2 linked regions of the Daphnia pulex genome follow. Each later gene encodes a partner of the first gene's protein in a complex. Links are inferred from orthologs where the notes say so. Each region holds a gene or a part of one and is shown in the gene's direction. Other genes may lie near its edges.

Region 1 (4,323 bases):
TGGTTGGGATAGCTGTACATGGATCCTGGAGGAAGTTGGTAACCAGCACTGGCTGCGCTATGGGCAGCACTTACAGAAACTGAGTGAGTGTAAAAGATGCTGCCTGGAACTGCAGGGCTCCCTCCATAGGGACTACCTATACTCTCTAGAAAAGAAAGTAAACAATAAATAAATCAGTATAGTGCTCACCAAGAATGATTTATACTTGAATTGTATGGGGAAAGGGCTGGTGGCTTGTAAGAATGATACAGCTGTGGTGGTGGTGGGGATGGACTACGAGGTCTCTTCTGATTTGTTTGACTTTGATGTCCAAGAGAAGGAACCATATTGATTGCTTGTCCATAAAGTGATGAAGGAGGCACTCCTTGCAAATTCAAAATGCTTTCTTCCTTCCCTCCATTAAATACTGGCCTTGAAGCCCCAAGATTAGGATGCATGTACACAGAACCATGGGTGTTTGGATGCACTAATGGAGCTCCAGATGGATAGGGATGAAACAGCATCATATCACTGCTAATGAAAAATATTTGAGTTTCTAATCTAATTCATATGGACAAAAATTTCATAGGATATTGATCACTCTTGATATGAACACTGGTAGGGAAAATTTTACCAAATTAAACTTTTAGTGTCCATTTACTATTTACACACTTCCTAGGATATTTCAGCATGAATATTGTCTTCTTATTCTATGCTAAGAATGAATTTTAAAAGAAAAAATAGATAGCATACTTGAAACTGGATTCTTTGATTTTTCTTCTCGTATCATCCTCATTTAGAACTTTTTTGAGTTGCAGAAATAATTGATGCTTATCCTCTTTCAGTTGAGAAAGCCTGGATTCTGACTGAGCAACTTGTTCCTTAGTTTCTTCTAAAGTCATCTCTTGTTCTTTTTGCTGATCTTCTCTTTCTCTTCGCTGTCGCTCGACCTCAGCATCAGCTTCTTGTTCTGTTTAAGAGTAAATGAGTTACAGAGCACAATTGAAACATTAACACAATTATTGTGGAGCTTCATCATAACAACCTTGCTTTTTCCTTTGTCTCTCTCTGATTATGTGTGATTTTAATGAATTCCACATAGGTCTGCTGAGTTTCGGCTTTTCTAAAACAATGGCGGGCATTTTGTTTACTTTCTACACTAACGCTCCGACTTCAGATGAATGCACTGAGTTAATTATTTGAAAATATTTGAATTGTTTGGTTTGAAGTCCTTTCTTGACTCGCGTAAAACTGTTCTTTTTAACACAGTTTGAGCTTGATACACTTCTTGTCTTCGTGCTAAGTCCATGAAGTACCGACTACCGAAGTACCGAAGTACCACCGAGACCGAACTACCGAAGTACACCTTCCTGCTAAGTGCTGCTAAGACAGTTGATGCTTTCATGGATTCTCAGTTTCTCCCCAAAGATGTCGTGGCACGACCGGCAGCCTATAGAAGTCAGGTAGCCTTTGATCTCTAGAAGACAAGAAGAGCATGAGTAAACGTAAAAAAACCATAGTTCTGTTCCGTCGGTTCCAGGTCGGTCTAGCGGCGATTCTAGTGTCGCATTCTAGTGTTTGCATTTTAAAGTTCTAGCTCTATTCCGTTTTAAGTATCCACTTTCCACCTCCACATTCCACTTCCACATTCCACATTCCACTTTCCACATCCTAACTGCAACTCTGCAAGAGTGGCCCGCAAGGCAGACCAACAAAGGGCTGCGCGCTTAACAGCGTTGCCATGTAGAAATTTTCAACTATTCTCACGTTTGAGCTCGTTCTCTCTTGCAGCAGACTTCTTCTTGGTTCCACGTCAGGTTCTCGTCCCTGCATTTGATCATCATGGCTTCTGGAGTAAGTACGATCTGTGTTTGAATCTAAGAAATTCCGTGACATCTTCTTGTGTTTTAAAGCGTGATTCTGTTGTCCAATATCTAATTAATCGGGTTTTTTTAATTTTAGACTTTGTACACTTACCCAAGCAACTTCAGGGCCAATAAGGCTTTGATTGCTGCTCAATACTCTGGTTTCAAAATAAATGTCGCTTCCAACTTCGTCTTCGGCGAGACCAACAAGAGTGAAACTTTTTTGAAGAAATTTCCGTTGGGAAAGGTAATTTTCTTTATGCGGTTCATTTTCATGGTGGAAAGTTTTAAGTCTATGTGATTGTATTGATAGGTTCCAGCTTTTGAATCCCAAGATGGGCAGTGCATTGCTGAGAGCAATGCAATTGCATATTTCGGTAAATATTACTACTAAAATAGTATTCCTCTGGAATTGAGATGTAATGAGTGTTATTGAACAGTTGCCAACCAGCAGCTTCGAGGAAACAGTGACGTGGAAAAGGCCCAAGTCCTTCAGTGGATGTCATTTGCCGACAGTGAAATTCTTCCACTGTCCTGTACTATTGTTTTCCCTGTCCTTGGAATCATTCAGTACAACAAACAAGTATGTTTCTTATTTTAGTTTATTTGTGCAAAGCTAATTTTATATGTACAATGTTAATTGGTGTATTGTTTGTATAGGCTGTTGAACATGCTAAAGAAGAATTGAAGGCTATTTTGTCTGTCGTCAACAACCACCTTCTTACACGCACCTTTTTGGTTGGAGAGAAAATAACTCTTGCAGATATTGTTCTTTCTAGCAATCTTCTCCACCTTTATGAGAGCATTTGTGATGAAACTAACAGGAAGCCTTATCAAAATTTGAATAGATGGTTTATTACTTGTGTTAACCAACCACAATTCAAAGCCATCATTGGAGACTTTAAGATATGCCAGAAAGAGTGTCCAGTTGATCCCAAGAAGTTTGCTGAATTTCAGAGTAAGAAAATTCTAAACATTTAATTCATTGCCATTTTTATCCAATGTGTCAACAGGTAAAATAACTGGATCTCTGAAAAAGGAAGAAAAGAAATCTGTCAAGGATGAAAAGAAGAAAGAGAAAAAAGAAGAGAAACCAAAGCCAAAGAAGGAAGAGCCAGAAGAGGCTGAGGAAATGGATGCAGCTGATGCAGCCCTATTAGAGGAACCCAAGTCCAAGGATCCATTTGATGAAATGCCCAAAGGAACATTCAACATGGATGATTTCAAAAGATTTTATTCTAACAATGAAGAGTCAAAATCCATCCCTTATTTCTGGGACAAATTCGACAAGGAAAATTATTCTATCTGGTTTGGAGAGTACAAATACTCTGATGAACTTACCAAAGTCTTCATGTCTTGCAATTTAATCTCTGGTATATTCCACAATTTTTTTTTTTTTTTTTTGTTTTCAAAGAAGAAATCCCATAATATTCACATTTTTTAATAGGCATGTATCAACGTTTGGATAAAATGAGGAAACAATGCTTTGCATCCATGTGCTTATTTGGAACAGACAATGATTGTACCATTTCAGGAATTTGGGTGTGGCGTGGGCAAGATTTAGCTTTCCAGGTAAGATGGTTTACAATGATGTTACCTCTTTCAAAGACACAAATATTTTTTGTTTTCGATATTTTGTGTAACAAGTAGAGGGAAAGTAATAAGACTTACCTGTTTTTAAGCTTAGCTTTGCTTGAAGTAATGGATCTAAGTTTTAACAATATTTTTTGTTTAGTTGTGTCCTGATTGGCAGATTGACTACGAGACATACGACTGGAAGAAATTGAACCCTGATTCAGATGAAACCAAGAAGATGGTGGCGGAGTATTTTGCCTGGTCCGGCACTGATAAAAATGGTCGTCCTTTCAACCAGGGAAAGATTTTCAAGTAGTTTGGTATCTATACTCGTGGAGTGTTGTATCACAACCATTATCAATACAACTGATGAGCTACTTGATATGTTGGAGTTCATTCAGACTTACATTAAATTGTTTTAGCTTGCTGATTTAAGAATATATTGCTTAATCCCCTCTTTGATTCTCCATTGGGGTCACAGACCATTTTATTACACTCCCCTTTGATGAGTTGCAAGTCACGCTCATGTTAATAACTTCAAAGCAGTATTTATACATCTCAAAGCGTTTTGAACAATAATTTGCGTGGTTTGGTATACCAATTATCAAACAAAATTTAGAATTTGTTATGAACGAGAAAATGGTGCACAAAAGCTTTTTACAAAAAAAGGCGGATTAACATACAACAGAGCACCAGGTTCTCCGACTTTCCAAGCTGATGGATCGATTTCACAGGCGAAATAGGAATAATCAACAGTAGTGCCTCTAGTGCTCGATTACACCAACAATTTGGCTAACTATTTTATACTCAAGTGATCCAAGCTCTAAGCCCAGCTACAAAGTGTTTATTGGTTCGCTTGGTCATTAAGACGAGCTGTGATCATGTTGACAAACCCTAACGTTTT
Region 2 (3,145 bases), on another chromosome or scaffold:
GGATCAAGCGAAGTTGAAGTGAACGAGAAAAAGGATCGTGTTAACGATGCACTCTGCGCCACCCGAGCTGCCGTTGAGGAGGGTATCGTTCCTGGTGGCGGAACTGCTCTACTTCGCTGTATTCCTATTTTGGACAAGCTGTCCTATGCAAATGAAGATCAAAAAGTTGGCATCGACATTATTCGTCGCGCTTTGAGGATGCCTTGCATGACTATTGCTAAAAACGCTGGAGTTGATGCTTCCGTCGTCGTCTCTAAAGTTATGGACTCTGAAGCTTCCATTGGTTATGATGCCCTCCGAAATGAGTACGTCAACATGATTGAACGCGGTATTATTGACCCTACTAAAGTTGTCCGAACATCTCTTACTGATGCCGCTGGAGTTGCATCCCTCCTCACAACAGCAGAATGTGTTGTTTGTGAAATCCCCAAAGAAGAGAAGGCCGATGGCGGCATGGGAGGAATGGGCGGAATGGGAGGCATGGGTGGTATGGGAGGTATGGGCGGAATGATGTAACGTCCCAAATCCAAGTCAATTTCTGTTCCAACCTTTCATGTTACTTACCTTCTTGATTGTAGTGGTGTTGTCAAGTTGTATAGCGGTAATTTTGGAGATTTTCATTCCTCTTGTTTGACATCCCAGTTTATGTAATCATGTTACTGCTGTTCAATCTTGAGTCATTCATCGATCTGGAAGGCACAATTATCAGCTCTACAGCGTAGTATTGGACACGTATGAATCACTCGTGATAGGAGACACTACTGTCGTTTTTTTTTCGTAGTAAATCATTATAAAGTCTTACTTTCTAAAAAAAAAAAAAAAAATACATGAACAGTTTTTTGTAAAACCTTCTATGTTTTTGAAAGAGAAGGAAGGTAAAGGGTATAGTTTGGGTTGAATCATCTGGAATTCATCGATAAAAAATTGCTAAATAAATTGCAATGAACGTAAAAGTTAACAACTGACGTTTATTCGGTTAAATTTTGAAACAAATTACATAAAATATTTCTAGTGTAGTTGGATAAAATAACCAATCTCAGGACAAGGACTTTACTAACAAATGGTCGTTTTTCAATTAAAATAAAACAAGCCCTTCCTAAAGGGTATCATAAAATGACCTTAAGAATTCAGATTAAAATTGATGCAGTCATTAAGTTTTGCGCAAGCACAACGAATTGAAAATGCACATTGCTCATAGAAAATATGATTTCATTCCAAATCAGTAATGAAATTTCTGAATTAAAAATTAATTGTTATAGCTTTAAAAGTGCATTAAACTTTAACGTGTCCTTGAATTTTCCCGTAAAAATTCGCATTTCCCTTCCCTTTTACTGCCTGGGGGATTTAGGACGACGGTGGACAAACGAACTAAAATATTTAGCTATCTGGCAACACGTAACCGTCTCTCTTTGGTGTCTGCCATTGCCGAATCGCGTGTCAATTTCTACCCTCAGTCGGTTTCTTCCTTTCAGACCTGATAAAATAATCATGGCTTTCGGCGATCTTAAAACTGAAAATGGTGTTAAGGCCCTTAACGAATTCCTAGCCGATAGAAGTTACATTGAAGGGTAAGTTTTTCACTTTATTTTAAGTATGTGTTGCCGGGTACAATAGAACTGTTTCTTGAGCATGCTTTCCGTTTCGTTATATCTAAAAATATGTCGATGTTATATTCTTGTGTATAGATATGAACCGTCTCAGGCGGACGTGACCACCTTCCAAGCTTTAGGAAAGGCCCCTGCCAGCAGCTTCCCACATGCTCTCCGCTGGTACAACCACATTAAATCATTTGGGTCTGAAACCAGCAAATTCCCAGGTGCCAAATCTGCTGCTGCAGCCCCAGCCAGCAAACCAGCCGATGATGATGATGATGATGTTGACTTGTTTGGATCTGATGACGAAGAGGTACTAACCATAGGCAAATCCCTCAGTTAATGAGTATTAACAGAAATTTCCGCTGTAGGATGAGGCTGCTGAGAAGATCAAGGCAGAAAGAATTAAAGCCTACAGTGAAAAGAAATCCAAGAAACCTGCGCTTATTCCCAAGTCCTCAATTGTCCTAGATGTTAAACCCTGGGATGATGAGACAGACATGGAAGCCATGGAGAAAGCTGTAAAAACCATCACATGTGATGGTCTTATTTGGGGACAGTGTAAGTATTTTCAATGAAACACATTTTTTACAGCCAATTAAAACTGTATTGTTTATTCAGGTAAATTTGTACCATTGGCATATGGTATCAAGAAGCTCCAAATCGGATGCGTCATTGAAGATGACAAAGTTTCTGTTGACTGGCTTACAGAGGAAATTCAGAACTTCGAAGATTTGGTCCAATCAGTCGATATTGCCGCTTTCAATAAAATTTAAATAAAATCATTGTGTCGGAGCTGAGCCGGCTCGTGTTATCAGATATTTTGAATGCTAATCGTGCAAAGTGCCTGGCTCCACAATTACTGGCTGATTGAAATAAACATGCTGGGTTGTTACTCATAGTACACTTCATTTGCCATCATATTATGAATAGATTCCGTAATGCTCAAGCCTAGTTCATGTGGTTAAAGGGAATGTCGATTACACGAAAGAAGAATTCTTAGTTAGCTTTAAACCTTTTAATTAAGTCAGGGGTATGGAGAGAAATTCTCTCCATATCCCTGATAAAGAGTTTAAGACGTGTTCATCAGCTCAGCTGTTTTAAAAAGAGAAGTTAAGTTACAGAAACTTGGCAACAGTGTTGTGTTTACATGCTTCGTGATGTAGTCTCGACCAAAAATGTGTTTAGTTCTTCAGTGTCGTACTAACGTACTACATGAAAATTTAGTGAGTTCATCTGTTAGATAAGTTGTGCCTGAAATGTTTCATCATAAGAAAAGGGAGTTTTGAGAGAAGGTAGGGAAGTTTATGTAACTCTTGTTTCTTGTAGGCTATGTTTATTGGCCAAGGATTATTTTTAAATTTATGACTGAGACACAAAATTGTAGTGATTAGTATGCTAAAATTACGACTAAAGAAAGGTAAAGGTGCCACAATTGGTTGTGATTATTTGGATTATTTTTTAAATTTAGTGACTGACAACTCACATGTGGCATTAATAGTCATTTTAAAAAATCAGGACTTTAAAGTTTTTATGTTTGAATTTGATTTTAG

The links.
Region 2: the proteins of elongation factor 1-gamma-like (region 1) and elongation factor 1-beta-like are in contact, whole or in part, in a crystal structure (PDB 5DQS), measured with the Homo sapiens proteins. The link is inferred for Daphnia pulex from reciprocal best matches to the Homo sapiens genes EEF1G and EEF1B2. Residues at the interface, in NP_001395.1 of Homo sapiens: Leu146, Lys147, Thr148, Arg149, Thr150, Phe151, Glu155, Arg156, Pro185, Asn186, Arg189, Leu192, Thr193, Asn196, Gln197, Pro198; in NP_001032752.1 of Homo sapiens: Ala20, Asp21, Lys22, Ser23, Tyr24, Tyr28, Val29, Cys50, His51, Arg54, Asn57, His58, Ser61, Tyr62, Glu65.

The regions. Positions count from the first base shown.
Region 1 is NC_060020.1:8,828,608-8,832,930, forward strand, and holds elongation factor 1-gamma-like, read left to right. Parts: upstream 1-1,538; 5' UTR 1,539-1,821; coding exon 1,822-1,833; intron 1,834-1,941; coding exon 1,942-2,091; intron 2,092-2,157; coding exon 2,158-2,221; intron 2,222-2,284; coding exon 2,285-2,427; intron 2,428-2,504; coding exon 2,505-2,802; exon of another isoform or gene 2,803-2,857; coding exon 2,858-3,217; exon of another isoform or gene 3,218-3,291; coding exon 3,292-3,416; exon of another isoform or gene 3,417-3,443; intron 3,444-3,515; exon of another isoform or gene 3,516-3,579; coding exon 3,580-3,735; 3' UTR 3,736-3,801; downstream 3,802-4,323. Other genes in the region: uncharacterized protein LOC124193185, read right to left, coding at 1-145, 206-513, 733-949, 1,025-1,121. UniProt on the Homo sapiens protein: Probably plays a role in anchoring the complex to other cellular components.
Region 2 is NC_060021.1:6,594,100-6,597,244, reverse strand, and holds elongation factor 1-beta-like, read left to right. Parts: upstream 1-1,366; 5' UTR 1,367-1,488; coding exon 1,489-1,568; intron 1,569-1,685; coding exon 1,686-1,905; intron 1,906-1,963; coding exon 1,964-2,153; intron 2,154-2,213; coding exon 2,214-2,368; 3' UTR 2,369-2,487; downstream 2,488-3,145. Other genes in the region: heat shock protein 60A-like, read left to right, coding at 1-516. UniProt on the Homo sapiens protein: Catalytic subunit of the guanine nucleotide exchange factor (GEF) (eEF1B subcomplex) of the eukaryotic elongation factor 1 complex (eEF1).